4 linked regions of the Rhinolophus ferrumequinum genome follow. The protein of the gene in region 3 purifies or fractionates together with the protein of the main gene of each other region. This does not show direct contact. Links are inferred from orthologs where the notes say so. Each region holds a gene or a part of one and is shown on either strand. Other genes may lie near its edges. The genes, in order: DDX5, BCL11B, HDAC2 and RREB1.

Region 1 (7,461 bases), on a different chromosome or scaffold from region 3:
CCAAACTTACAGACAATGTTTTCCCAGATCCAGTCTGTGCCACTCCAACCATGTCCAATCCACTTAGAGCAACTGGCCATCCCTGAGCTTGAATAGCAGTGGGTTCAGTGAAGTTCTGTCTGGCAATCACATCCATGACGTTTGCTATGATTATCAACACACATTTAGAAAAATCAGTAAGGCCAAGAAAAGGGAATTTTTTTTAAAAAGGACAAAACTCAAAACTAGTACTTACCAGGAAAGTTTGCTTCATAAAAATTCAGAACTGGCTTTGGGCAGTTGTGACCTCTAACTGTAACTTCCTTGCTTCTTCTGTATGTCTCTACCTCTTGCTACAAAACAAATAATAATCTGGTTAAGTCTTATGACAACCTCCTCCAACTAAATATGCAAACAATAAGCCCCTAATCTTATAATTGATTAGGTACTTTAACATAGCCATTTTAATCTGAATCCATGTGATGAAAACCCTACATGGCACAGAAAAATGTCTATTGTGTTATATTCTACCATGCTAAGTAGAAAAATTCAGAGCCATTTATTTCCAAAAGTGAGTAACACCTCTTCCCCAACTAATAAAAAGGCATGATTTCCCACAACTTGGTCATTTGCCAACACTTTTCTGGTCAGATTTTGATTTACTGTAAGTCACTAAGTTAAACCTGATGAAGCCAAAGAAAATTACTCACCGCTGTGCGCCTGGCCAAATCAGGGTGTTCTTGATAAAAATTTTTCTCAAATTTTGGCAGCTCATCAAGATTCCACTTCTTTTTAACTAATTTCTCCCCAGGGTTTCCAAACTTCTTTCCTGATAGGGGCCCTGCCCTACTTCCTCCAAATCGAGGTGCACCAAACCTGCAATTAAAAAAAAGAAAGTTACGTTTTCAAACGTCTATGTAGGAGTTTATATACACTCTAACTTACTATTCCTTGGCACACGCTAAATAAAGATGGATGAAAGACTTCTGGAGGAATAAGACCTAGCGCTGTCCTTAGTGATGATCATTCTCTCCAAACCACAATTAGCACCCTTCTCCTTTTCCCTGTTGTCCCAAGTACACGCTATTAAAGCCAAAAAAACAGCCCAGGATTTATCAGGTCGGAAATTGGCTGCCCAAGCACCAAAAGCTCAGATTACAAGGACAGACAACAGCTTGTGGCTACCGGTCTTTCCCACGAGCTTAGGAATTAAATGTCTGAGAGAAGGACAATACAAGAAGGGAGGAGCTTATTAACAGCGATGTTATTTACCAGCTGTTTCCAAGCAAAGGGTCTTTGGTTTCAATGGATAACGGGACAGCACAGGCAGTGAAAGCAGAACAAGCAAGAGTGGTGGTCTCGGGGACACTTATACAAGCCAATCGACTAGGGAGGAACCGCGGAACGGCTTCCGATCAAGGTAACAAAATTATATAACGCAAAAAAAAAAAGAGGAGGAGGAGCTGGCGACTACCAGGGGAGGAGTCCCGGCCCGGGCGGAGTCGGCCGGGCGGCGTTCCCGCTGGGGCGGCGCTTCCCCCTTTGTCTCGCATTTCTCTCTGCGCCACATTTTCTCGACGCTGCCATTTTGAGCTCCTCCGCCGGGCGGGGTAACAAAGGCGCCGGCGCCATGTCCGACGCCGGCATTTTGTACCTACGGCTCAGCCACATGGCCGATTACCGTGGCGCCGGCCACCCTCCTGCCCCCGCCGCATCAATGGCTTTCGAAGCGGCCCTCTCGGCTCCCCAAAAAATCCCCGAGACTCCTAAAACACCTCCCAAAAGGTTGCACTCAACAGCGACAACTTCGTTCTCCTCGAAGCGTCGCGCTTTCCTCCCCTCACAACACACTCAATTCTCGCCACAACTGCTAAATCGCCGAAGCCCCGACGCTCCCAAACAAAAAGCGAGACTGAGGACCGTTTCTAGAAAAATCTTTCCGTCAGTTTTGGACAAATAACAAAATGGCGCAAACTTTCCCTTGAGGAGGCCCAAAAAACGGCTGAAAAAGCCAAGTTCCCATCGCTACCCACCCCTCGTTCTTTTCATTGGCCTCCCATCCCCCACCCGTGGGGCCTGACAGGTCAGTTCCCCCACTCACCCTCGATCCCGACCGCGGTCTCGGTCACTCGAATAGCCCGACATGGCGTCAATGATTGCGGTTGGCGGGGAACGAAGTGGAGAGAATCTGGTGCGACGAGTCGCTGTGGAGGTGGCTTCGGCAAGCAAAGCCTTGCGGGGGCGGCAGCGGCGGAAGGACGGCGATGACAGGAGCCGGAGCTGCTCCGCAAGAGACCGATGGAAATGAATGAGGTGCCGGCCGCGTCCCGGCAGCCGGTTTTATAGGCTGGACCGCCTCCTCCGCCGCAGAGAATGCTGGGAGCCGCTCTATGACCTAATCACCCCGCCCCTGCGCAGAGGCCGCAACGCCCGCAAACGTTCCGGAATCCGCCATGTCCTCTCCCCTCCCCCACTGTCCCTCCCTTAGAGTCGCCCGTTTTTTGCCCTTTCCATGGCTGGGCCCACTCACCACCGGAATGCCTCAGCCTACACTCTCTTTGACTTCACCTTTTTCTCGTCTTTCCACACCTCAAGGAAGCTACCCCGCCCTTTTCAGGTCCAGCACAGGCTATAAAATGGCCAGCACAGGGCAACCCACTCGGTCCACTTGGAGTTGTTTACGTCTCCAAACAGCGCTCACGCCCAGAACCATACGAGACAGGAAGGCGGACCCTGACATTGTCACGTGGCTGACCCCGCCCACCGGGTGAGCGGACCGCACTACTTCCTCAGTTGGCGTCCGCGGAGGAATACAAAACGAAAAGCTCACCGGAAATGCCGCGCTAATGCCGCGCTAACGCCGCCGGGAGACCGGCCCCGGCTGTTGCGTGACCCGCACTGTCAAACCCACCCACCTGAGAGTCGCTTAGCGCGATCTTTCGGGAGGAGAATGGTATCTAGAGCCCCCAAACCGCCGCCTCGGCGCGTGTTGCGAAAGGAAGTGCTCCTCTGATGACCAATCAGTGGCGAGAAGCCGTTTTAACGCCCTTCCCTCTTTCACTCCTCCTACCCTGCACTTTCCTGTCGTTCCCCCTCTCAGCGCTGTATCGGCTTGTTGCGGCCCTTTCAGGACACCGTCCCCCGCGCGCTCAGCTGCGAGTCGGGCGGCGACCTGCTTCCGCGACATGGCCAGCTCAGAGGCTGGTGAGTCTCAACCTGGAATCCCGGTATATGTGGACTAAAGCGGGCCAAGTCACCGAACGCCCCTGCCTATTATATCTTGAGACTTCAGGCCGGCTTCAGCTAGGTCTGGGCTGCCAGCGGGGCTCGTGACACACACTCCGTCGTAGTAACAGGTTACCTGGAGTGTCTCTTAGCCCACTTCGCTGTCCGCTTGGAAGCCGTCGAGCGCGATTTTGGGGGTCGGGGAGAGAAGGTCTCTGTGGCGAGACCTGTAGTATGCTTGCATCCTGGCTGCAAAAAAGGGCAGTCAAAAAGTTTCTTCCCCGGACTCCTGTTTCTCTGGGGTATCTAGCCGCTTTCAAGTGCTCTTTACTCTTGCATTGTGGGGACTGAGGTAGTACCGGAATCTGTATTGAACTTTGGAGGAATGGCACTCTTAAGATCTGTTGATGCCCCTACCAAAGGAAAATAGTGGATTTTTGTCTTCGGTGCCCTCTGGAGTTACCGGCTTTGCCTAGCCTCGCTTTTGAAAAGCGCATTGATTTGGTTGTCTAGGACGCTTTCATCCTTTTCTCTAGAACAGCGTTCAGATTAGTTGTGATGGTTTGGTCAGCTGTGAGAAATGAGTATGGGGGAGAGGGAGATGATGTGCCTTTAAGAGACACACACGTACACATTGTTTTCTGGGAAGAGGAAGATAACGTGCCTTGAACACACAGTCACACATTTCTAGAACATACTGAAGACAATCGAATGCAGAATAAAGGAACTTTACCTTTAATCAACAATCATTTCAGGGAACAAACGTTCTAAGTTTTCTAAATTACCTTCGGTCGAGAAACTCTTGAAATAATTTTTCTAATTCCAACGATATCTGGGGTGGGGAGGGTCGTACACAGGAAACTTCCACAGTATCGGTAATGTGCTAATTCTGGATTTAGGGACTTTTAAATAAACTTTCCGTATTTCCTTTCATATAGTCAAATACAAAAAAACTAACAAGTGCAGTAGTGTTGGTGTCATTACTCCAGTTCTTAACAGCCTAAGTTAATCACTACCTATTTGGACACCAGAGAAATTGTTTGCATAAGATAATTGGGTAAAACCATGACTAATGCTATTGGGAATTTGAAGCAACATCCATTAGTAGTTTCTAGTAGCCTCGGATTATCTTGTTTGGGACACAACGTTCCCACTTACCTGTAAATATATTATAAATAAAAACACCTACATATGGCTTGTAAAATAAGAACCACAGTAAATAACTTAAGATTTTAGGTTGCGACAGTCAAAATTAGATTTGTATTCCATTTTTGACTGCACGGAAATTATTGCAGTCTGGAAGTCATCCCAAGTAATTAATTAGATACATCTTTTCAAAAATCATGCCTAGGAGGATCTTTGAAATCCTATAAAAGTCAAATTCCTTATCTTCTACAAAATTCAATGTCTGTTTTTGTGAGGGGGTTTTTTTTGTTTGTTTTTTCAGATTATGACTTTTTCTAGTGCTATTTAAGGCTGACCTTTTCCTTTTCTCTCCCAACAGAGTGGGTAGCCATTGCCAATAACCTTCTTTTGAAATGTCACATACACCTGAGAATACATGAACTAGAAGATTGTGATGCTAATGTCTTTATTGCTTTTTATCAATCCATTTTGGGAGAAAAGGTACCAGGTAAGGGTGCGAAAAAGTGGGAGTAATAATGTCTATATCTTACCCCAGAAGTTTCTAGTGCCTTTAAGTGAGATCCTATGGTATTTATAAAATCTTGAGTTTTCTCTTTGTCTCCATTTTATTTCTATCTAATTATTGCATTCATTGCCTTAATGAATACTTTATGAGACCCACCCCTAGTAACAGCCTTGGTCAAATCAGTTTGACGGGTCTTGGTTGTCACTGTTTAATCATGTTTGATGCCTTGTGAAAGTCACACGTTTTCTGTGACTAAAGGTTCTAAAATTGAGTGGAACTTGGGAACTTGTGCAACCCTGTTGCTTAACCAATATTACAGATTAGAATTGATGTTTGTACTATATCCCTGGTTAAATATCTCAGAGTCCTTATCCATAGATTTCTCTGCCTTCATTTCTTCACATAAGAAATGTACCAAAATAAGCTCTACGTAGTCTCTCTTCCTTTCCCACTGTTACCATGAGTCCCTCCTCACTTCCTGGAATAATGGAATAGCCTCTAGCTGGTATCTTTGATGCTAGTCTCAACCCTCTTTAGCGTCCCGAGGTATATACAAGTACTTATTAGGCCAGTCTTTTAAAATACATTTTCATCCTTCCCAAAAAACATTCATCTTCTCAACACCAGAGGAGGAACTCAAAATTTAAGTTGATATTTAAAAATCCTTCTGCACTCAGGTCTATACTGATCTTTTAAACCTCTATGCCAATAATTCTTAATAGGGCCCTTTAAAAGGACATACAGTAACCCTCATTTCACACCTGTTGTTGTTTTTCTCTCATGGAAAGCAGCCCACGGTTATAGGTTAGTAATTGCTGCCCTTACAATCGTATTACCATCTTGAATTTAGGGATTTTTTTAAATTGGGGAATATTGGGGAACAGTGTGTTTCTCCAGGGCCCATCAACTACAAGTCGTTGTCCTTCAGTCTAGTTGTGGAGGACATAGCTCAGCTCCAAGTCCAGTTGCCGTTTTCAATCTTTAGTTGCAGGGGGCACAGCCCACCTTGTGGGAATTGAACTGGCAACCTTGTTGAGAGGAGAGCTCTCACTCTAACCAACTGAGCCATCCGGCCCCGAATTTAGGGACTTCTTTCTCTTCTTTAGTGTACTACTTAATGTAGAGCATGTTCATAAGTTTATTCAACCATATTCAATCAATAAATATGCAACCAATAAAGATTCTGTGTGGAATTCAGGCTCTATTAACTTTATCTGTACTTTATAAAAACTGTTCTGTTTGGGCAGAGCTTACTTTTGTAGCAGTTGAACTTATCAAGAGCCTGGTCCGAGACAGATAGATGAAAACTTGGACCCTCACAGATGCAAAATTAAGGAGCTTTTCCTCCACAGACCTCATAGCTATTCCTAAGAGTCAAGAGGATGAAGCTCACAATGTACAAGCAGTAATCGATTCACTGGCCTTGGATTACCTGCAGGTCAGCTTGTCTCACATAACAGGTTGGTATATACTTCATCTCCAGATAATTTTGCATTTTACAAAAATAACTTGTTAGACAGAACCCAGGACATTATTTAATTAGCCAAATGAGTAAGCTTGTGAAATAGACCAAATGGCAAGACTGAGCCAAGACAATCGATTGAGTATGTATAGTTAAGGCAGCCATCCTTGAGAGCTTTCCCGGGAGAGTCAGACATTGAGTTTATGATGGATCTCAGTCAAAGTCCTAGAGCTGGTAGTTGGAGGTATGTTTTTTATTGTTGTTTTGTTATTTTAAAGCTACCATGCTACTTGTCTGTAGTAGCTAAAAAATTAGAAACATCTAAGTGTCCATTCGTGGTGACAGGTTAAATAAATTATGGTAGCTCCAGGGAACTACTGTGCAACTATAAAAGATGATTGATTATGTTCTTTATGTACAATGTTCCATATTAGTGGGACAATCACCATTATATATTGTGTGAGAAAAATGTGGTGCAATTACAATGATAATATGCAGAGTATGCTACTATTTGTAAAAGCAAAGGCGGGGAGAACATTTATGCAATAGATTTCATGTAGAACTCTCTAGAAGCATATACGAGAAACCTGTAATACTGGTTGCCTCCAATAAGAGGAAGTAAAGGGCTGCAGGACAAGGGTGGGATGAGACTTCATTATATACCTTTTGTAATTTTTAAATTTTGAATCGTGATTATCTATTCAATATAAATAAAACTACAAATTATTTTTTGAACCTTTTCCCAAAATAAATTATTTTCAGCTAATGAACAGAAGGAATCTTGGGAACTTGAAACTCAAATCACTAAAAGAGGGTTTATACTGTTGATTTATTCTTTAAAGGAGATAAATGTTAATCAGGATAGGTTATTTACATCTCTTAATTTGATACTGACAAGAACAAATTTTTGCAAAAATACTGTCTTAAGTTTTTGAGTGCAGTTTGGGAGAATAAATGTAGTAAATTATTTTGGAGATGATTCATTTTGAGGGGTAACCGTGGGGTTTTCCTGTTCTTTTGCAATTTAGAATTGCTTTATCACCAGAGTAGGGCAATTTCTGGTAATTTGTGCTTTTAAAACATACTATATGGCAAGGTAGTGTCCGCTTATAGAACTTCTTACAGTAGAGCTTCTCCGGACAAC
Region 2 (7,522 bases), on a different chromosome or scaffold from region 3:
TGCACTATCTAAAGGTGGGGATGGGATTGGAATAAGCGATTATTGGTAAAGGACAAATGTCAACTGGCAAAAAGAAGAACCTTGATCAAACCAGGCTCAAATCTGGTTGCAAAACATTTTGTTTTAAATGCAACCAGCGAGTCCTCTTTCATGTTAGAATGGTGAAAAATAAAAAAGAAGTCCTCTTCCCTCCCTCCAAAAAGGCATCCCTCTCCCAAGGTGAACCCCACTTAATATCTATTCCCCTTCCCAAAAAATAATAATAAATCCACAAATTCTTACTAATGTATCTGCTGTAACAAAGGAGAGATGGCAGCAGCAACTGCTCCGAGCAGATGGCTCCTAGGCGGGTTTTCAGGGGAGGGGAGAACCCTTTTATATATTTATTTATTTATTTAAATTTTTAAAAATATAACATAAATATTCGGCTCTCGGCTGCCCCGCAGCCAGTCCTCTGCGGCGACCGGGTGCGCAGCCCTCTCCAGCTCCGCGCGGGCAGCCCGGCCCCAGCCTGACTAGGTGATGGGAGGATTGCAGGAACACAACCTGCACCGCGGTCTCGATGGCACCCAGAGGATGCTTTATTTCTATTGCAATAAAATAAAATAAAATAAGATAAAGTAAAATAAAATAAGATAAAATAAAATAAAATAAAAATAAAAAAAATAGCAGCGGCGACCCAGACACCGCAAGAGAAAGGACCGCGGGGAAATGCTCGAGCGCGGCGAAGCAGCCGCCGGCCCGGCAGGGAGAGCTGCGAGCCGACCTTCCCGGTGCAACTATGCGGGCACCCGGGGCGAGCTCCCCTGCACACCCCGTACCTGGCCTGCTTACGCTCTCTTTCTCCCTTCTCTAAATAAACCCAATTGGGGCGCTGGAAGCTGCTGCGTCTCTGCCCTGCTGCCTGACTGCACGCCCCGCCACTGGCTTGAAATCCACAAGATTCCAGCCCAGCCGGTGGATTTCCACTTCGACCTGCCTTGTTTATTTAGATAGAGAAGATGAAAGATACTGAGACAGAAGGATGCGTAAAAGATTGATAGGTCTCTCTCCTTTTCTTTTTTTTTTCTTTTTTTCTTTTCTTTCTTTTTTTTTTTTTTTTTTTTTTTTACTACTGTTTTACAAGCACATCCCTCTCTTCCCACTCCTGGCTGACAACCCTTGTTCCCCCGTGGCGGGTATTTTTCACCAGCCCCCAAACCCCCACCTTTTTTGGAGTGGGGGAAAGAAGACAGGATCATCCCAGGAGACAGCGGAGGTGGGGAAATGCGGGGGGGTGCATGAGCCCGGCAAACGGCCTTGCAGCTGGATTCTTTTGCAAATAGAGGAAGGGAGAGAAAGGCGGCTGCAGAAGCCTAGGACCGGTGTGGCCGGCGCTCTGCCCCGCCGGGTGCAGCTACCGGGGACTCGGAGCCGGCGGCCGCCCGTTTCCCCATATCTCCCGCATTCCACAGCGCACCCCGCTCTCCTCCGCCCGAGCCTTCAGCACGGACCCACGCGCTCGCCAACTTTTCCCCACTTCCCGGCTGCCCCCTCCCCCTCCGCTCCCCCAGCCCCCTCCCCCTCCTCTCCAAACCCCGCCACCAGCGCCGCCGCCGCCACACACGCCGCTCGGAGGGGCGAGCGTCCAGCCGGGCTCCGCGCGCACACACACACCTCCTCCAGCCTGCGCGCCCCCTCTCCCGCCCGGCACCCGCTCCGCAGGCCCCCGAGCCGGAGGCGCGTCTGACTGCGCAGCGCCCGGACTCCCGGGGCTGCAAAGAAACTTTCCTATGGCCCCCCGCCCCCCACAAGGCTCTGGGCCGACGCACTGCCTCTGGAGCCCGCGGGCCGCCCCGGCACCCGGCCCAGCTGAGCCCGGCTCGGTGTCCCCAGCCCCGGGCGCCCGGAGCCCCATCCTCCGGCCCCTCGCGCTTACGCCGCAGACACTTACGGGTGATGAGCTCCCTCTGGGACAAGTGCTGCGGGTTGCCCTGTTTGCGGCGGGACATTGCCCCGGCATCTATTCTGGCATCGCCCGGAAAGCTGCTCTGATGGGGGGAGCCTGGGGTGGGGGTCGGAGCCGCCGCCGCCGCCGCCGCCGCCGCCGCCGCCGCCGCCGCCGCGCCGCTGCCGCTGCTGCCGCCGCCGTGCCTCCTCTGCCCGGGTTGGTGTTTTGGTTTTTTTTCTTTTTTTTCCCCCTTCCTCTCTTGCCCTCTCTTCCTCCTCTTCTTCTTTATTTTGCTCTTTCTTCTATGCTGTTTTTTGTTTTGTTTTGCAAAAAGAAAAAGAAAATAAAAACCTCTCGATCTAAAATAGGAAAAAGAGGCAAAAAAAATCTGCTGTTGCTTGCCGCGGACTGGCTGGTTTCTTTAAAAAATATATATTCTTTTGAAAGCAAAAAATCCTTTGCACTTCTTCAAACTGCGTGGCCTCCTGGACTTCCAAATGTCTTCTTGAACTTAAACCGGATTTTGCACCGGCTCCTGACACTTTCAGGGTCTGGTAGGTGGAAAGCGCACTTCTACCAGGAGGGGGGTGGGGGAAAGAAAAATGCAAACAAATAAAAAATAAGAGAAGAAAAAGAAAAAAAAAAAAAGCAAAGAAAACTTGGGGACTTGTCTCGTACCCCCCTCACCCCGCCCCCTCAAAAAACCCAAAGCAATGTAAAACTGCCCGGATTCGGTTGTTTCTGGGTTTTCTGCGGGCTGCCTGTTTTTTTCTCGGAGACTGACCCTTCCGAGGCTCTGGGGGGACTCCAGGAGCGGCTCCTTCCCAGTTCACCTGGCAGGCTGGCGCCGGCCGGAGAGGCTGCCGGGTCCCCGCGAGCGCTCCCCAGCGCTCCCCTGGCGCCGCGGGCCCGGGGGGAGGTGGGCTGAGGGGCGGCTAGCCCAGTGCGCCTGGGTCGGTGCGGGCGCGGACTGGGAGCTATAGATTGCAACGTGAAGATGGCGGAGTCCGGGTTCTCTGGGAGCTCTCGGTCTCTCTATGGCTGGGGCTGCCTCTGTACAATGGGATAAAATTCAAGTTCAAGTGCGGACGTGACGTTTAATCTGCACCAGAGACAAAAAGACCCAGAGAGTCGGAGCACTGGGGGCGACTAGCGGTGGCTTTTTAACATTGTACCCTGTAAGAGAACAAGAAAGCACACACACACACACACACACACACACACGCTCGCGCGCGGCGCTTGCGCGCGCGCGCACACACACACACACACACACACACTCGCCCGTGCGCACACCCGCAGATCAGGCCGGCCACACTTGCAAACGGCGTTTTTGTGCACTCATCTACTCCTCGTGCACGGGCAGCGCAAAAGGGGGGCGGGGGAGCCGGTGGGCAGGATATTTTTCAATAAAAGAAAATTCTCTTGTCCCTCCTCCCCTCCTGGGAGCAGGACCCCCTGAGAAGGGGGGCGGAGTACATTGTGTGTGGAAGTAAGTTGAATCAACGCCAGTAACTCCCAGCCACCCACCAAAAGCTGTGGGACTTGGGGGGCTGGAGTCAGGGGGACGCTGTGCAAGAGGGTTGGAGTGGACGCAGGGACCGGGGGAGATGGTCACTTGCTTCATCACCCAGGAAAAGTCACTTGGTTGTTTGTACTTTTTGTTTTATTGGGGGATCAGGGTTAAACTTCCAAAAAGTGTCTCTGTATAAATCCTGGCATTACAAACTCTGGGAAAGCGAAGTGGACAACATTAAATAAAGATACTAAGAGGAGAATATTAAGATCACATTTGGGGGGAGGAACGTGGACCTTGTTTGAGTCTCATTCCGGAGGAGTCTTCACTCGAATGCGCTCCCTCCACCTCACCCCTTTAACTACTTGGAGAGTCAAACACGGGCCCCACCCCCTAAGGCCAGGGTCTGCGGGGAGCATTGGGGTACCGGGGCAGGGGCTCTCCATGTGGGAGAGGAACTTGTACGTGCTGACCCAGAAGTAGGTGTGGCCGGATCTCTGAAGATACTCGGGTGCCCCTGTTACCTCCCACCCCCACAATTACAGCAACCTGGTAGTAACGCCTCCCCCTGCCCTCCCCTCCACACACCCACCCAGTGCTCCTCTGCCTAGGGTAGGACTTGAAATCGCCGGTCTGACTGGAAAGGACACAGCTGCCTTGTCAGCCGTTTGTTCTGCACCCGGCGAGGACAAGTGGAGTTGGGGGGGCCTGTCCGTGGCCCAGGGACAAGGCCAAGTCGTGGTCCGCGTGGACATCGCCCCTCCCAGCCGGATCCCTCCCCAGTCCACGGCCAACTTCGTCTATTTGAAGACCTGACCTCCCCGGCTGGGCGCGCCAAGCAGCTAGAGCGCTCTCCCTTCTCAGGGTTTCTCTGGTCTGGGCCTGAAGGCGGCCAGGGCGGGTCGGGGCCTGGCTCGGGGCTGGGCTTGGCGGGCGAGCTTAGCTGCATCCACCCCACCCCGCCCCCAGGCCCAGCTCCCTTGGCTTCATCCGAGCGAGGGGCTGGGCCGTGACGCCTCAGGGCGCGCCACCTCTCTCGGGGCCTTTTCCTTCGGGGGCACACGGGGTTTTTGTTCAACCCCAAGGTCTTGGGTGTGGCAACGGGACCAACAACTTAACAGAGCGCAGCGCCCATTAGTGAGGACAGAAAGAGCTCCCTGTCCAAACCACCCCCAAAAATAATAATAAAATGTGCCCTAGCATGTAGTTTTGCGGATAGGCTGCAGGGTCGCGGGCCGAGCGGGTGGAGACTGGGCTGTGGAGCGGGGTGGGGTAGGGCCAGTCGGCACTCTCCACCCCAGGAGAATCAGGGATCTGATTCCCTGGGGACTGCCCGCAGCTGCCCACCGCCCCAACTCTCACCCTATCTCCACGTGGTCCAAAGTCTAGAAGCACCTCCCTCTCCTCCCATCCCGCCCCACCGCTAAAATCTTTCCAGGAAAGTGGCCTAAGAAAAAATGCCCACACGCACCTTTAATAAACTTCTTAAGAAAACTATAAACCAGTCATCCCGAGTCGCGCAGATTCTTAAATTTGGGAAAGCAGCTCTTTCTGAGACTTGGCGTTGTGAAGTCCAGAACGGTTTAGCGTTTTGCCCAAGGTCACACAGCCCTTGGGGTAGCTTTCGACTCAAATCGCCTCCACACGCCTGCTGCCCGCGCCCCTTGCGCCCCCGCGCGCGAAATCCCGACCCTCGACCCTTGCCCAACGAGGGCTGATTACAATGAAAGAGGACCCGGTCTGGGCTGGAGGTAATGGGGCAACCCCCTCAGGTAAGGGGACTCTCAGCAGACTGCGCAGAATGCTCAGGGGCCGGGCTGCAGCTGCCACCTCCCGCGCGCTCAGGCGGTGAGGTCTGGGGAGGGGGGCACCTCCGCCCCACCCCCGGCAGGAAGTAGCGGGCAGGGGGCGGCGCGGGCCGCGACTGACCGCGGAGCACTTCCTCATTGGCCCCACACTGCCCCGACGGCGGGAAGAGGGACGCGCGGGCGGGCCGGCGCAGGGCCGGACACGCCACCGCCTGCCAGCGCGCTCCATCTCGCGGCGGCCGGGGAGAGGCGGCTCTGGCCCTGCCCAGCCCAGCACTGGCCCCTTCGCCCTCCGCCTCCTCCTTCTCTCCCGGGAGGCGGCCGGGAGCAGGCAGCGAGCGATCCCAGCTGCCGCTCCAGTCTCCCTTTTTTCCCTCTGCCCGTCTGGCGCGGGCGTCATTAGCGCTGAAAGCTGTTAATGTCTGGTCTCACAGCTCCCCCTTTAGTCTTGCTGCGCTCCCAGTCTCGCGTTCCAAACCGGATCAATAGCCGCCTCTCCTCCGACCTTGACCTCTCCCTCGACCCCTCCCGGCCTCGGCAGCTGGCCCACACTAAAATTTCTCCACTCTCTTAATGCCCAGAGAACAGGCGGCGGGCCAGAAGGGGTGGCAGGGCTCGGGCCACAGCCGGATCCCTACCCCTTCCTCAAGACCCCAGGCAGACAGAGGATCCAGTCCCTTCTGAGAAGGTCACTCTGGACACACACACACACACACACACACACACACACACACACACACCACCCCTTGAACTACCAATCCTTTGTTTAGAATAAAAGTCACTCCGTTGGCCAAAAAGGGGAAGGGGAGGTGCAGGTGCTTAACATGTGAATACATAAAGGAAAAAGTGCAGATGAACATATGGTCCTAAATATTACACAACTTCACACTTACTTCTCCAGCACCTGCTGTAGGCCTACTGTGTGCTGGGCCCCGAGCTGGGGCTTTGTGCAAACTGAAATTAGATGGAAAGAAATGCTACATTTTCTGTACTATTGAAAAAAAAAAAAGATGTCAAAAAGCTTTTTGAACTCACAAATATTTCCCTGCTCTTCTTTTTCTAGCTTCACCTTGCACTCCAGCACATAATCCCCCATATTCTCAATCACTTTAAATTTCTTTGTAGAAGAATAGTTCAGAAATGCATCAAATCAGGATGCATTTTTATTAACGTGTGGGGCTCTGCTTCCCTATGTGTGCTACATATAACACACCATGCAGTGGGGGCAGATGATACAGACACATGACCCCCCAGCCAGGCTTCTTGTTTAAAATTCTTTGAACCAACGGATAACTTAACTCTTAGCTGAGGTAGGGCTCTGTACCAGATTCTGTAATGGTATCTTTGCCTTCTGAGCTGTTATATTTTATATTATGTCTTTACAAAAATTTGGAAAGAATTGAGATGGGTAGTGTCAGTTGAAATGGGAACCCCCAATGTTTCTGCAGAAAAGCTGTGCAAAGAGAACGCGAATCTTTTGGCATTTACAGGTGTGGGGCCGACTCAGAAGCAAACTGCTAATTTCTGTTCCTCGGGATCTATAAACGCTATTGACTGAGAAGAGAAGGATAAATAAACTGCATCGATCTGATCAGTGGATTGACTTGTTTTAACTTTTGAGGAAACTGAAATGGAGGCACTAAGTAAATCCTATTTGTGTACACATTAATAAGGCCCCCAAGATGGCTCTTAACTCCTTCCTTACAGTTCTAGAATCTCTAGGAGCTATCAAATCCAGAAGCATAAAAAGACAAAAGAGGTCTTTAGGGCTTCCTGGCATATCTTCTAGAATTATTTGATGTCATTTCTGAAAATTACAGCAAATTTCTAAGTGCCAGAAGCACTCTATTAAGGCTTTGCTGGATCTGGAGGGGCTTTTCTGCACTGTTATCTCATAGCAAAGGTAGGACCACAAAACCTGCCTCCCAACAATTGCTTGGTTGATTCTTTCCAGGTACTGAATTTTGCAACATTGCTTCTGTTAAAACACGTCATCATTTGTACCTTATTTCTGCAAGAAATACTTGGGTTTTATACGGTCATAGATTTCCGAGTATTTTTTAACTACATAAAGCATAGGTACGTCCTAGGAAATCTAAGAGGCACCATTGCCTCCTGCCTTTACAGCTGCAGCCTGCAAGGGGTTAAACCAAAGTCACTGTTCCTGATTCATGTATTATTTTCCTTAAAAAAATGCTTCACCCAGCTCTTCGTATATGAAAAAGACTCACACCCACATTGAATGTTCCTAGCTCTGTCCCTGTCATCAGA
Region 3 (7,878 bases):
AATTTAGCCTAGCAAATTATTTGGGCCCTATTACTACTGATACTACGCACTCCCAATCTAATTCATGTTATATACCTTCGAGTCACAGAATTCTCTGGTGCAGAAGCTGCTTTACTTGCATCCTCTTTCTTCACAATTAAAAAAAGAAAGATACCATTACTGCTACTTTTATACATAAGTTGACAAAATAGTTGTTTTGGTAATAAAAATGTAAACTTTCGTAATTAAATGTGCAGAGCTTAGCATACTATCACATATTAATAATTAGCATGATGCCTATTCAATTTAATAATCTCTGCAAAATATTTTATTAGTCCTCCCAGCAACCCAAATATTCCAAATATAAGCAACTGCAAATTCCATTCTACAAATGAGCCAAGGAAGAACCATAGACTAAAGACAGTAAACCTAATCATTAATTTCCAAACATTCAGTTATACACCTGTTGTTGGCCATCAAGTAAAGCAGTTGAATGGTCTACAATAAAGTATTAAGTCACAATCACCAGGCTTGAATTATTTCCACTCTACCTATCAATCCTGCATCCTGCCCTTGGGACCAGTGCTTGCTCCCATTCCCTCAACAAAGGCTCATCATAAATGTGTCCAAAAATGGGCAGCTGTACACTTAACTGCTACTTAAGTGTACCTCTTTCTACAGTTCAAGTTTGGTGACAAGAAGTTACAAACAGCTTACTTCATCAGAGCCTATCAGAGTCAACAGCAACTAACAGCTTCAGGAAGAGTCTTAGCACTAGTTACCCCAACCTTTTTATAACTTTCTCTTTTACCCCAAGCTCCAACAAGAACCAATCTTTAAATCTTTGAAACAAGTTTTAAAAATTAACTTACATACCTGGTTATTTACTTTCCAATTTGATGAAGGAATTCAAAGACCAGTGTTTTACAAGTGACCCAAAATATGCATGAAGTATTAAAGAATGAATTATAAGAAACTTTAATAATGTTAAAATGTAATCCCATTTTCCACTCCTCCACGATGGCATAATTTCAAACCAATCTGTATTACACATAAATGGGGTCCTCTCAAAAAATATTTTTAAAACATGGCTGTTACTATTTTGGACTGGCTTCCAAAAAGTCAGATAATTTGGATTTCTTCTGTTAAGATTTTACATTTTTCCGTAAATGATACAGGTGGTTATTTTATTTAAAAAACAGGCATTAAAAGATTCATCCTTGCTAACTGAACTGATATAGTATGGCCGTTTTCAAATTAAAGTCAAATTTATTCTGACTCAGTCCCCTAAGGTCTTTCCACCTAAGATGTTGTAATTTATAATACACCTATAAGTAAGAAACAGCTTCCAAATTTTGTACTGCTTCAGACAAATTAGACAGGACTTTCAGGTCGTGAAGCCTAGCTTTGTTAAATTTTAGAATTCCTTCTCTGGAGAGTAACCTACTAATAACCATTTTACCATATTAATGTCTTTTTGAAATCTGTAGAACAGGCGACTACTCGATTTAGTCTCATTTAGGCTGGCTCAGGAAACAGGATTCAGAGATTTAATGTTACTGTTCCAACTCCAAATTAAAAACACCCCTAAAATTAAAATGACTTTTATTACTTACTATATGTAACGTGAGCTCAAGCTTACCTGATTATTTAGAACTTCTGCACTATTCAAAGTTTTCCTACACCAGGACTGCCACCACCTAGAAACAGTTTTCACAAGCAAGATGCCAATGCTCTCCTAAACCTCCAAAGCAGGGTGGTATTTCCTGATCGAACAAAGAGTAACAAAGAAGTGGGTGGTAACCACCTCTCAGAGGCAAGCCAAGACCCATCGAGTCTGATCAACAAAACAAGCAGAAACAACTCCACCTTTCCCTACCAACGTCGTATTTCCCGCGTAGACTGCCTCAAACTCGAAAACCCTAATTTTTATTGAGGAAGTGAAGCCTTTTCATTTGAATGCTGAGAAAGTGGCGCTCAAAGAACCCGGCGAACAAAGGAGAGGGATGGAGCCCATGCAAAACACCAGTGGGTGTCCTCACCCGGACGTGGGCCACCACCCTCAGTAACTACTTTGCAGCACTGACCCGGATCGAGGGGTCCGGGGTGAGGCTGGAGGCGGAGGACGCAGAAGGCACGAGGACTAGCAGACTCGGGGGGGCTGCGGGAGGTAGAAAGCAGCGCGGATGGGGGTGGGAAGCACAGGGGACTGAAGAGGCGGAGCTCTCGCGGCCGCCGGGCTTTGTGTGGAGCCTGGGCCGGGGTAGATATTTCGACCTGGGGGGAGGGGTCGGGTGCAGGAGGCCGAAGCAGGACACCCCCTAATGTCCTCTCCCAAGAGTGGCGGGAGTGAGAGACGCCAGGGAGGGCGGTCCCCGTCGCTACCACCATGAAGCTGGGGTAGGCCGACGCAGAGGCGGCGGACTGCACTGCTGAAGAGAGGGGCAGGAGGTAAAAGTGGGGCGTCCACCTGGCTACCGCCGCGGAGTCCCCCGGGGCCGCTAGCGGCGGAGGGGCTCCCACTAACAGCGTCGGGTCGGCAACGGGTTAAGATGCGGCCAAACATCGGTCCCTCCTCCTTCCCACCCCTCAGCACTGGCGCCCACTCGCGACGGCGGCCTGAGAGCCCGGCGTGGTTCCAGGCCTGGCGCCCCAGCCCTGCCCGCCCACCCTCCCGCCGGCCCGGCCTCTCACCATCGTAGTAGTAGCAGACTTTCTTCTTGCCGCCTCCCTGACTGTACGCCATGGGCTCCCCGGCCACCGCCGCCTCCGGGCTCCGGCTCCTCCTGCTGCTGCCGCCGCGACTCGGCGGGGAGAAAAAAAGGACTGGGGCGAAGGTGGGGGCTGGCAGTCCCGCGGGGAAGGGCAGGCCGGAGGGAGGAGACAAGGGGGCGCCACGAGGGCTCGGTACCGCCCGGCCGAAGGGCCGAAAGCGCGGAGCAGGGGTGGCAGCGGCGCCAACTCGCGACACTGGGGAGGGGGAGGGGTAAGTCAAACCACCTCCGGACGCGGAGGGGAGGTGGGACGTGTCCACTGTTGTCTTCCGCGGCGGGGAGGAAGGGGCAAAACTAGGGAAAGAACGCTCTTCAGTCTTTGGATAAAAGCCCTTCTGTTGGTGAACAACTTTCAGAGGGTGGTGGAAAATACAGTTGTAAAGTGAAAAAAAAGGGAAGGGTTTCGCTCAAGTAGATAAAAGGAACTTGGAGTGGGGGAACGCTCCCTCCTTCAGATCTTCGCACAGTGGTTGCGCCTATCCTGAGCCTGCGCAGTCGGCGCCTCCCCAACCGAAGCCTTGGCCGCCCAGACCCCTTTCGAGTTGTCTCTTGCCGCTCCCATCCCCCACTGTCGCGAAGCTCCCGCCCTTACCGACCACGTGCTGTAAGCCAGGCGGGGAGAGACCACTTTGGTACCCTTCCGGAATCCACGACCCTCCAGTCTGTCCCCCACGGCCCTTCTGTACTGGGTCACCTCGGTTTTCTTTTTGTTCATTTATTATTTGTGGTTTTTTTTTTTTTGTACCAATAATTGCACTGAGGTTCTGACCTGTTAAGGGAACCTACGTATCACAGACGTCAAGGAGTATAGTGTACTTCCTGGGTTTGAAGGAGCATTTATGGAACTCGCTTATGTGTTAGGCTCGGGTCTAACCATTGCATTTATAATGTATTTAATTGATTCCTATTTATAATAAATAACCTGTTAAGTCATTTGAGACTTGCAACAACGCAGAGACATATTTCTATTCCTTTATACGTACGGATTGAGGAACTTGGTGGTCTCAACTGTTGATGATCTGGGGTTTGAATTCAGTTTTTCTCCCAAATCCACATACTTTAGCTACTCCACTATAGTGCTGCTGGCTGGGCACTGGAAGTCTGAGGCAGAAAGCTAAGAGAAAAGATTGGAAAAGTTATGAATATCTGTGTCCCTGTGTTCAACAAGTCAACATTTATCAAGCAGCTACTCTAAGCCAACCACCTTTCAGATAAGGAGTGGGGGTCTGACAGTCTGCCATGTAAGCACTCTTATCCCAACTATATCATTTACAATTTTCTCCAAATGCACACTCTCTCCAACACCCTCATTAAAAGAAAAAAGGCCTTATTGAAGTGGGAACCATTTGGAGCCACCACCCAAGATACCCCTTTATTTTACTATTTGACTTCAAAATCCCCAACGTGGTCACATTAAAACAGCAGTTTTCCTGGACCTCACCCTGAAGACATTTAGGAAACGAAATCTACCGTAATCCTCCTCCCCTCCCCGCAATTCTGTATTTTAAACAGCACATCGCAGGTAACTGATGCAGTTGGTACCGGAAGCACAGTGTGAGAAACATCAGCTTAGAGGTAGTAGAGTTAATTGCATGGTATTGACTTTTAAAGTTTTGCTATTGTATCAAGTCCCAAATCAGCTTGGTAGATTCTAAGAATAGAATAGGTTAATTTAGTAGAAACTAATGTTCTTCTCAGAATCAACTTAGTGAAGTCTGAAATGAGACTTCACTCAAGAAAGTGAAGAAAGTGAAGCTGAGTCAGGGAGCTGACTTTACTCCTTCCCCCAAGTCTGTTTTCTGTGCCCCTAACATTGTAGTTGTGACTTGTACCCCTCTACTTCAACATTTACCATGTTATAGTTGCCCAAAACTTCTCTTAATGTTCTCATTAGACTAGAGTTTCAGGAGAGGAGGAAACATGTCTGTCTTGCACAGAATTGTATCTCTAGTGTCTATGACTGGGGGCAAGTTACTTAAACTTTTTTTTCTGAATTGCCTTACTTGTAAAATAGGGCAGTATTACTTGGAGAATGGTTTATTTTATACATATTGAATAGTTTAAATAAGAAAATAAATATGGAATAGTTTTAAGAAATAAAGAGCTATGAATATGAGATTATTATGATTACTAATAATAATGGTAGTAATAATTATTGTTTGCATCCACAGCACCTAACCTTTTACTTGTGAGAAGAACCTGGACACATATTTTGATTGGTTGAGGAACTTATTATATTGTTTATTATTTAATAATTTTAAATCAAAAGAAGCATTTTACCATTGGAAGCTGGCATTGGAGGAGTTTAATCCAGTGATAAGAGCAGGCCACAAGCATTATGTCCCTAAACATCTATAATGACCTTTAGGTCATCAAAAGTAGAATCAGTTATTGAACCTATTGACAAGCTCCGAACTTCATTTACCATTTTCAAACTCTTCTCTCTTAAACATTTTTACCATTTAAAAAAAAGGGAGTTTTAGACAATATACAGAAGAAAACAAAGTGATAGCGTGGTCCATTCATAAAATGCATAATTGAGGATTGTCTTTATTCTTAAACTTTTTTTCTTTAGTTCTTGCTCTGTCCATATGAACTTATTTTCCCAACCTTGAAGATGTTTAGTTTTTCTGAGGTTATTCAGTGAAATGATCCGTTAAACATAAATGGATTATTTAGAAATAGGACTATAGTCATGTACCACTTAGCAATGGGGATAGGGTCTGAGACATGAGCCATTAGGCAATTCCGTGGTGTGGGAACATCCTAGCGTACACTTACACAAACCTGGATGGTATGGCCTACCACACACCTAGGCTCCATGGTATAGCCTATTGCTCCTAGGATACAAGCCTGTACAGCATGTTATTGTAGAAAACGACAGGAGATTAAATCAAGCACAAGAGAAATGATGCAATCAAGAGACGCGGTAAACATGAGATGTATGAAAGCTGCTGCCAGCATAACTTGGCATATTGTTTTATAGAAAATTTTTTAATAAGTAGAAAGAGTACACTCTAAAATAATGATTAAAAGTACACAAGTAAACACAAAAACAAGTAACAGTCATTCATCATCATCATTAACAAGGATTAGGGACTAGGTAGTTGTATGTGCTATACTTTGATGTGACTGGCAATGCGGTAGGTGTGTTGACAGCAGCCTCACTACAAACGCATGAGTAATGCATTGCACTACAACATCACTAGGCAATAGGAATTTCTCTGCTCCATATAATCTTACGGGACTACCGTCATATATGTGGTCCTTCGTTGACCAAAACATTGTTATGGGGTGCATGACTGTATTTAGAAACGGATTGTCTCAGCTTACGCGAAAAATTAAACCCTGCTATCAACTGCAGCAGATAGGTCAAGTTTTAGTTGCTATAAAAGAATTATAAGCTTCTTTCTACTCTAAAGAAATTTAGATTTCTTGGTGTTAAGTTCTATTTAGCAATTCCACAAGGCAATACATAATGTAGAGAAGTGTAGTAGCTAACAGTACAGTGTTGTCACAAACTACAACAGCCTTGAGCTGAATTCTGATCTCAGAAGAATTGTGCCTATTTTTGCGCAGTATTTATTACAAGCTGTAACTCCTAAATCTGGATAGTAGCACCAAACTGTGAAGATTCTAGTGCTATTTTAACTGCATTTGTGTAATAAAAATCACCCATTTTCGTTAAAAAATATTTTTGAATCACAGCTCATCTACTAAATTACTCATTTACATTGAACTTTTCAAGTTGCCCTGGTTAGCTTGTTAATTGATAAATGCTTTGCCCGTGACCCTTGTAGTATTACTTTGATTCAATCCATCTCCGTGTACCCACTTTTTAGTAAAATTCTATACGCACACTGTGTCTGGGAAAACTTAACTTACTGGTGTTTCCTAATCATCCTATATATGTATCTTAATACTTCTTTCCTATCTCAATTTTTAAACTTTCCTTACTAAAAAAAATTTTTTAAATTTAGTGATTACTAAATCTAGTAATCACTCCTCTCCACTGAGCACCAGAACTGTGCAAATGGAGGTGGAGTATGTTGGGGCCATCAACAGGAATGCCAAATAACAGGAATGGTGGAACAGGAGGATAGGGAGCATGTTCCTTGAAGACCTCCTTTATATCTGTACCAAACCTGACTGCCCACCTCTGGACTTCTGGTTTTATTCAGGAAACAAACAAACAAACCAAAACAGACAGTACATTTGGTTAAACCACTACAGTCAGGATTTTGTTATATGCAGCTGAATACAATCCTAACTTCTGTAAGATCTGAATTAGAAGTTAGTGGCTTCTGATAATGTTTACTAAGAGACTACAGGTGTCTGTTGGGACACAACTCTCCATGGGTTTCTGAATTTCCTGAGAGCAGAAGTACTTTATGTCTTTTGTTCCAAACAATCTGATCAAAGATGTTTGTATAGTGAACAGCTTTGGAAGATAGAGAAAATGACTCCCTGTGAAACAAAGGGCAGGCATGCATGCCACCCATAATAAAAGATTCAGGTTCCCTAAATTCAGGGTTCCTCTCCTGTTAGGCAATCCATTGCAAGTATGGATTTCATCTGACCCTCTTCCTCTTAGCCTGCAGGAATTGGGACTCAAGGCAGCAGCACAAAAGATAATACTGATACTCTGGTCACTGCTATTGCCATGAGTGACAAATTATCCTTTGTCTTTAACCCAGGAGTCTTGTGCCTTATGCTAGCAACTATGAAACTGTGGCTGGCTAGCTTGTTAGCTTGCACATAGGGTAAAATCTCAGCCCCTTCCTATTTCTTGACAGTTTTTGTTCATGAGACTAGCATGTTGAGAGGGACTGAGCTTTCTGAAAAAGTAAGGATGAGGGCCTTATCAACCAAGTTACTGAATTTGAGGCAAGTTAATGAAAATTCGTAGCAAGCACATCGACCAGATTGTATGGTTAACTGGAAATTAAGTGACCCTCCACTTTATTAACTGTTAATGAGGAGGAATTTGTGAGGGATTTGCAGGCTAAATACCATGAAATAGGTTTATAGGCAGATACCTGCACAGTGTACTGGTTGTAACTTTCCTCCAAGTGAGGAGACTTCTTCACCATGTTGGAGACACTGCTAACCTGCGTACTCAGAC
Region 4 (6,962 bases), on a different chromosome or scaffold from region 3:
TTCCTAAAATAAGCAAACTTTGATTCTTCCACAGAAGCAATACAGGTTCATTGTTAACATCTTAGAGAATAAATAGACGAAAACAATTTTTTTAATCTCTCATTATTCCACTTTTTCAACTCATTGTAATCTTCATCTACGAATGCATCATCTCTTCTTACACATATATGCACATTTTTATTTTTTACTGGTGTTTCTATTTAACTTCTGAACAGTTAAACTTAAACGTCATCTAGGTTTTGTCCCCAACTAAACCATATTAGACTCGACTCTTTTAGTAACATGAATATGCTTCTCTGTAATCTCCAGAGTGCTGAACACAATTCTGTACACAAAGTAGGTGGCTAAGATAAAGCATATGTTCATTCATGAAAATATTTTGGGGGTGGCAGTGAGTAAATGGTTACAAATGAGCACTGTCCAAAATAATCTATGTGAAAACCTGATACATAGACGATTTCTTGAAAAGTGCCCAAAAATTTATGTAACAAATGTTTTAAATATAGAATACTTCACAATATTAAGGACCCTATTGTTAATCCTTTTTAAATAGATATTAATTCCTTAATTTAATTTGCTTTATAAATATGATCTATAAATAAAATCACCCTCTATATAAATGTTTCATGAATTCAGATGAAATTTGGGGTTGGGAAGAAGGGATGGGAGGAAAAGGGAAGTGTGCCACTTCATTTTTAACTTAAATTTTCAATTCATTTCTATAGCAACTCTTCTGGTTTGAACCAAGACTCTAAAGCCTAATTATCTCACAAAGAAGGAAATCATGTTCCTTAACAGAGTGACAAAATCTAAGATCATGAACATGTTCTTTTTTTTCAAACTTCCAGAAAACTTTTGTATAACCCTGCCATTTTCATTCAGAATGCAAGACTATTCAATGTATGGAATTTGTCAGCTTTCAACTATAGTTTTTCCACAGTTTAGGCAAACATCATAAGTGAAAATAATGGCTTTTGCCGGTTGAACTGAAGATCCTGTATCTAGAAAGTAATGTAAAAAGTCCAGTCTATCACCCCAAAGAAGACCAACTATTATTATGATTATTATTCTCATTCTACTAATGAGACAACCCAGTGAAGTTTAAGAAATAAAAGCAAACTGAGGATGGTTAGATCTCCATAAATTTTCACTTAATCCAAAAGATTATTTCAACAAAATAATCTTTTACATATTTAGAACATGATTCAATTTATAAAGATTCAACTTACTAGTTTTTGCTTCCTATGAAAATATACTCTTTAATGCAAAATACATCTCAGTTTAGATTTCTTTATTTAGGGTTGCCTTGGAAACAGAAATTTACATTAATTCCAAAGTCAGCTTTTCAGATAATTCTTAAGATCTCACACTTTTTAGAGGGTAACACACCCTTTTTGCTTCTGAATGAAACTCCAGCAGCTACACAAGTTTCTATTTTAGGCTTCATGCTTCTTTGGGCCTTGCATCCACAGCCTGGTCCTGCACTCTGTGACTAAAGTCCACTGGACAAAACCAACAGGAGGAACAATGGGACAAAATTCAGGAAAAGTGCTCAAGAAGAGTTTGGGCTGCAAACTCAACACGATTCAGCTTTCTCTCTGCAGTCTCATCTTTTATTATTTTTTCCTTGACTCTGCTTGTGTCACCAGCATTCAAACCCAAAGCCCATCACTTTTAAATCTGGATCCCTCCCTGTTTCAATCCCATGTTTGGGTGTGAAGTGCCACTGTGCTCAGGGGGGAACTGACTGGCCTGCTGTCACTTCTTCTGCTTTGAGGAGGATTGGGGTTTTTGGTGGGTTTTTTTTCCTCTTCTTCTTTTAATAGAGGCCTTTTCATGTTTGTTTCTCAGGCAGTTTCCAAATTACAAAACTGTCACTGTGCCCTGCTCCTTCTAACTCTTAGGATACCAACTTCAAACCTTTGTATCAACCAAGTTTGCGTTTGTTAAGAACTCTGGTAAATTTATGGCAGCCTGGGCCTGCATTTGGGAGACTTGAACTCTAACGCAAAAACGTTTATGTTCTCTGGACCAGTAAAAAACGAACACGAAACAGGGCAAAAAACTACCTCCTCACCGGCCTTCCTTTCACGTTTGGTTCAGTAATAAGAAGTTAATCCACTCCCTAGTGCAACTGCAGCCTCCTCTCAGTCAGCCTCACCTAGAACATTCACTGTATCATTGCATCCAAGCCAAACTCGGTTACTGAGGCAACTAAGTTTTTCTTCCCAAAGGGTCACAGGGAAACATCCCTCGGGATTCCCTGGTAACCGTCCACCGATAAAGCTGGGGAACCACAACAGCAGAGACTCGCTTTCCAAGGCTGGCTCTGGCCGCGTCGGCCCGCAACCGGGGTGGAGGGGGTGCGTGGGGGGTGCGTAGCGTCCAGTTACATTCCTGACCCACTTTCGCATCCCCTCCCTCCCCCTCCTCTTCCTTCTCCTCCTGGGCAGGCCGCGAGGGCTCCGGCGCTAGAAACTGCCACCCGCCAGTAGTCCCCAGACTGCCGCGGGCCGGTGCTCCCACCGTCGGGCTCTGCCGGGGACCCAGAGACAACCGGCCCCCGCCACCATCCCCGGCTTCCCCTGCGCGGCCCCTCCCTGGTCACGTGGGCTCGCGAGCACCTGTTGGCGACCTCAGCCCCCGGCGGAGCCCCTCCCGCCGCCCCTGGCTAAGCCCCCTGCCGGAGGGGTTAGGAACACCGCCGAGTTCCCGTCGCGTTCTGCACACCCCGCTTTCCTCCCGGAGGGCGCGGAGGCCGGCGGGCGAAACCTGCCCAGACGTTCAGCTTTGCAAAGTGCAAAAGCGCCACGGCCGCGCGGCAACTGGGTGGAAGGGATCCTCCACGCCCTCCATCGCCGCCCCCACCCGGCAGAGCGGGGAGGTGGGGTGCTCCCGCCCCCAGCCCGCCTCCGCTGGAAACCTGGGCTCCTCACGGACGCCGGGAGGGAGGCTGCCGAGTCAGGCGGGGGCCGCAGGGGCGAGGGCAGGTAGCGGGTGGTGACGGGTGGGTGTGTGTTCCGAGCCGCCGAGTCCAGGAAGGGGGCGGGAAGCTGTCGTCTCAGCTGCAACTTCTGAGCGTGCAGAGCAACTCAGCAACTTTGCCTGCGCCGCGCCCCTCCCCCGCGCCGCCGGGCCGGGGGCTGCGCTGCTGCGCCTGGGGGCCCCGGCGCCGGGCCCCGCAGGGGACAGACCGGGGTACTGGCGAGTATGAGGGGGCTGGGCTGGGCTGGGGCTGCAGGAGTGGCACAGCTGCCCAGGGGGAAAACGGGGGGTGCGCCTCCACGCGCCCCAAGCTTAGAAACGCCGCGCGGTTCCCGAGCCGCGCACGCCCCCCGCGGCCCCCACCCGGAGGGGCTGGGCGTGAGGAAGGGGGCGGAGGATGGCGGCGGAGCCATGGAAACTGTGCGGGGTGGATAAATAAGGAGAGGGCCGCGGGAGGCCGTCCGCAGGCTGCCAGCATCTCGGCGGCGGATGCAGCGTCCTGGGAAGCGCGGCCGAGCTCGCCCAAGTTTTTCCTGCCGCCCCGTAGCCCCCTCCGGGCCAGGGAAGGGGGGCGCCGCCTGGAGAGCCAGGCCCTAGTCCGGCGGAAGGCCGGCGGGGGAGACCAGCCCCGGGGCAGGGAAGAGGGCTGCGAGGTGGTGGGCAAAGGCGAGTGCGAAGGTGATTTGGCCCTCCGGGGGTCATTGGCTGTTTGTTCCCGGCACGAAGGACGGCGCGAGGCCCTGGCCGGTCCCGTCAGACCGGAGAGCTTGGGGGAACCCCCAGATCCAGCGTCCAAAAAGGTGGATACATCCAGTTCAGATTTTCAGAAGCGTCTGAGGGGCTAAACTTGGGCGTGCGGGGGAAGATAGGGAACCTGGGGCAGCCTGGGGTGGTGCACGCTGTCCCTAAGTCATGCCCACACCCCCTCAGGAGTCGGATTGTCAAGATGGAGAGGATGTAATTGGGCAGATTTGGGCCGGGCTGTGTACCCATGCATAGGGAGCCTGAAGAGCCTGGCCGTCCACAGCACCCTTTCCCTGTAAACAGATTTACTAATCCTCCCAATTCCCCCCAACACTCACAAACGTCATCTGACTCACTGTAGGGTTACTGACGCTTTACGCCCAAGCCTATTGCTTGTAAAGTGCTAGAGATTTGAAAGGCGATGTTATGAAGTTGAGTCACTTCGGGGTGTGAGGCCTCTTAGAGGCAAAGCGGTTACTTCAAGTGAAAGTGAACTACCTGCGTGCCAACCGGCTGAATAATTTAATTACATGCCATCTTAATTTAAAGAGATTTACATGCTCACTGAACCCAACTGGTCAGTTAAATTCTGATGTGGACCTGGAAATTAGTTTCTAACTGAACAAGGTCTATTTCACACCCCAAACGGGTGACCAGTATTTCTTCTCTTCTCTTTTTAATTCAAACTTTTTAGTTCTTTTACTTCTTAATAGGAAAAAAAAGCCTTTACTCTGTCTCTCTGAAATAATTGTGATAGCTCTAGACCAGAGCACTGTTTTCTAGAGTGTTCCAGAGAACACTAGATCCTCTGTATGTCCAGGGATGATGTTTGAAAAATAAAAGGGGGGTGGGGGACTTTGCGGTCATATACCACATTTCATTGATTCCAAGATGCACTTATTTTTGAGTTTTAACATCCCTGATGTCATATTTGATGGCGTCTTAGCATTAAGCCCTATTGGCAGTGGTTTTTTTTCCTTAGTGGTACATACAATAAGGAAGTTTGAGAAATGCTGAGTTAAAGAATTTATTTGTTATACCACAGACACAAAAATGCAATATATAGCTTTATAGCAAGGCCTTTCTGAATCTTCTGTGTGCTAAGGTGTTTGTGAATCACCGACAAAAGGTTGTAACATGCAAACTTTCCTAAATGTATTTGTCCAGTCACCAGTTTTTGTGAGCACCATTGCTTAGGACTGGTATTCCTTTCAGGAAATGCTGTAGGGCTTGTGCCAGATTTGAACACAGTTAAGGGAAATGTTCACTTTCAAATTGTACTTGAGTATAACTAGGAGTCATTAAATGATAAACTAGATTTAGTGTCATTACAAAAAAAGAGATCATTTGGGGAACTATCCAAAGGCAGAAAAAACTGTTCATATTCGGCTACAGTAGAAACTGAATCTGGATCATCTTTAGGGAACTGGTTCCAGTGAACATACAAGTCATCAGAAAATTCATGTGTCTGATATATACAGTTGCTGTTACACTACCTCCTGCATTAGTTTGATTTGTAGAAGTTAATAAAAATGCCTTGTTTAAATAAGACTGGCATTAAGCTATCAACCAGTTACTCCAAAAAATCCCTCCAAAAGATTGTTATGAAAAAATAAAAAATGGTGAGTGCATAGAAGTATACTTTTAATTAGAAAAAAAGAGAAAGAAGCATATAAAAATTTCCAAATAGGATGAAATTTAGCATAGGAAAGAAAAAAATGCATGTTATTCAGCCCTTAGCAAAGGTTAGAGGCAAGATCAGATTTTTATGAGTGAATACAATCTTCTACTTGGAATGTTTCAAACACAAATAATAACATTTAATGTTTTTAATATAAAAGATGCATTTTCAGGTGTGAGCTCATTTCACCATATAATAATCTTACAAAGTAGATGGAACAATCATTCTGACTCTCAGCTTGCTTACCCATCCATTTGTTTATATATGAGGTCTGACAATTAAGTTTACAAACTTGTTGCAACGATGTTGCTAACCTTTTTTGATATCAGAGGGATTATGCACTATGAATTTGTACCAACTGGACAAACACTTAACCAAAATTACTGTTTGGAAGTGCTGAAAAGGCTGCGTGAAAAAGTTAGACGACCTGAACTTTTCGCCAACAATTCATGGCTCTTGCACCACAAAAATGCGCTGGCTCTCACTGCACTGTCTGTGAGGGAGTTTTTAGCCATAATCAAATAACTGCATTTACTTAATCAAATACCTCTCCCTACTCACCTGATCTGGACCCCAATGACTTCTTTCTTTACTCAAATATAAAGGAAATATTGAAAGGAAGACATTTTGATGACATTCAGGACATCAAGGGTAATATGGCTCTGATGGCCATTCCAGAAAAAGAGTTCCAAAATTACTTTGAAGGGTGGACTAGGCATTGGCCTCGGTGCATAGCTTTCCAAGGAGAGTACTTTGAAGGTGACCGTAGTGATATTCAGCATTGAGGTATGTAGCACTTTTTCTAGGATGAGTTTGTGAATTTAATTGTCCGTCCTCGTAAGTGTGTATCAAGTACCTACCAGGTTCCAGGCAGGACATGAGACTTTATCATAGATGATAGATGAATATGAGAAAATACCCCTCTGCAGAAGTTACATCTGTTAGGAGAGATGGATAAGTAAGATAAATAATTGTAATATAGTATGACATTGAGGCTTAGAAATGTTAATGACTTACCCAGGAGAATTAGAGTCAGGATTTAACACATTTTAGGATTTCAGATACCTTGCTCTCTTCTATAATAGATATGCTCTCATCTTTACAAATAACATCATGTAGATAGATACAGTGTTTGAAACAACTGAACATAACATCAAACATGTTGAATCTTAAGAGTCAGAAAGAAATTTAGAGATTACGTAGGCTAACCCACTTATTTTTCAGGCCTAGAAATTGAGACAGAGAAGAAAATGGATTTGCTTAAGGTTACACAGTTATGTAAGGACCGAATTAAGATTAGCATCAAGGTTTCCTGACTCCCAACTCTTTGCATTGTAAAGTGCTGCCTTACAGTAAGAGATAGTGAGAAATAGCCTCAGCCGAGTCTGTTTCTCCTGTTATAAAGTGTGTGGGCCCATCTTAATAAAGGCCTAGAGTGATTGTAAAAGCTGTGATAAAATGCCCCGTGACTAAGCACTTACTTAAAGAAATATTTCTAAGAGGAACTGCAAGGGCATTTCAGCTATGTGAGTTCCTTAAAAACAGCCACTAT

The links.
Region 1: the proteins of HDAC2 (region 3) and DDX5 purify together in Homo sapiens (affinity purification with western blotting; 3 studies listed by BioGRID, with this or other methods). This does not show direct contact. The link is inferred for Rhinolophus ferrumequinum from reciprocal best matches to the Homo sapiens genes HDAC2 and DDX5.
Region 2: the proteins of HDAC2 (region 3) and BCL11B purify together in Homo sapiens (affinity purification with mass spectrometry; 4 studies listed by BioGRID and IntAct, with this or other methods). This does not show direct contact. The link is inferred for Rhinolophus ferrumequinum from reciprocal best matches to the Homo sapiens genes HDAC2 and BCL11B.
Region 4: the proteins of HDAC2 (region 3) and RREB1 purify together in Homo sapiens (affinity purification with mass spectrometry; 4 studies listed by BioGRID and IntAct, with this or other methods). This does not show direct contact. The link is inferred for Rhinolophus ferrumequinum from reciprocal best matches to the Homo sapiens genes HDAC2 and RREB1.

What each region holds. Positions count from the first base shown.
Region 1 is NC_046304.1:42,882,578-42,890,038, forward strand, and holds the start of DDX5 (probable ATP-dependent RNA helicase DDX5), read right to left. Parts: upstream 3,003-7,461; 5' UTR 2,895-3,002; intron 2,703-2,894; exon of another isoform or gene 2,510-2,702; intron 2,260-2,509; 5' UTR 2,125-2,259; coding exon 2,081-2,124; intron 856-2,080; coding exon 690-855; intron 333-689; coding exon 236-332; intron 145-235; coding exon 11-144; intron 1-10. Other genes in the region: CEP95 (centrosomal protein of 95 kDa), read left to right, coding at 3,165-3,183, 4,709-4,837, 6,208-6,315. UniProt on the Homo sapiens protein: Involved in the alternative regulation of pre-mRNA splicing; its RNA helicase activity is necessary for increasing tau exon 10 inclusion and occurs in a RBM4-dependent manner. Binds to the tau pre-mRNA in the stem-loop region downstream of exon 10.
Region 2 is NC_046289.1:4,906,919-4,914,440, reverse strand, and holds the start of BCL11B (B-cell lymphoma/leukemia 11B), read right to left. Parts: upstream 3,005-7,522; 5' UTR 1,992-3,004; coding exon 1,934-1,991; intron 1-1,933. UniProt on the Homo sapiens protein: Key regulator of both differentiation and survival of T-lymphocytes during thymocyte development in mammals.
Region 3 is NC_046286.1:65,450,344-65,458,221, forward strand, and holds the start of HDAC2 (histone deacetylase 2), read right to left. Parts: upstream 3,010-7,878; 5' UTR 2,726-3,009; coding exon 2,674-2,725; intron 1-2,673. UniProt on the Homo sapiens protein: Histone deacetylase that catalyzes the deacetylation of lysine residues on the N-terminal part of the core histones (H2A, H2B, H3 and H4).
Region 4 is NC_046292.1:86,823,882-86,830,843, forward strand, and holds the start of RREB1 (ras-responsive element-binding protein 1), read right to left. Parts: upstream 3,016-6,962; 5' UTR 2,924-3,015; intron 1-2,923.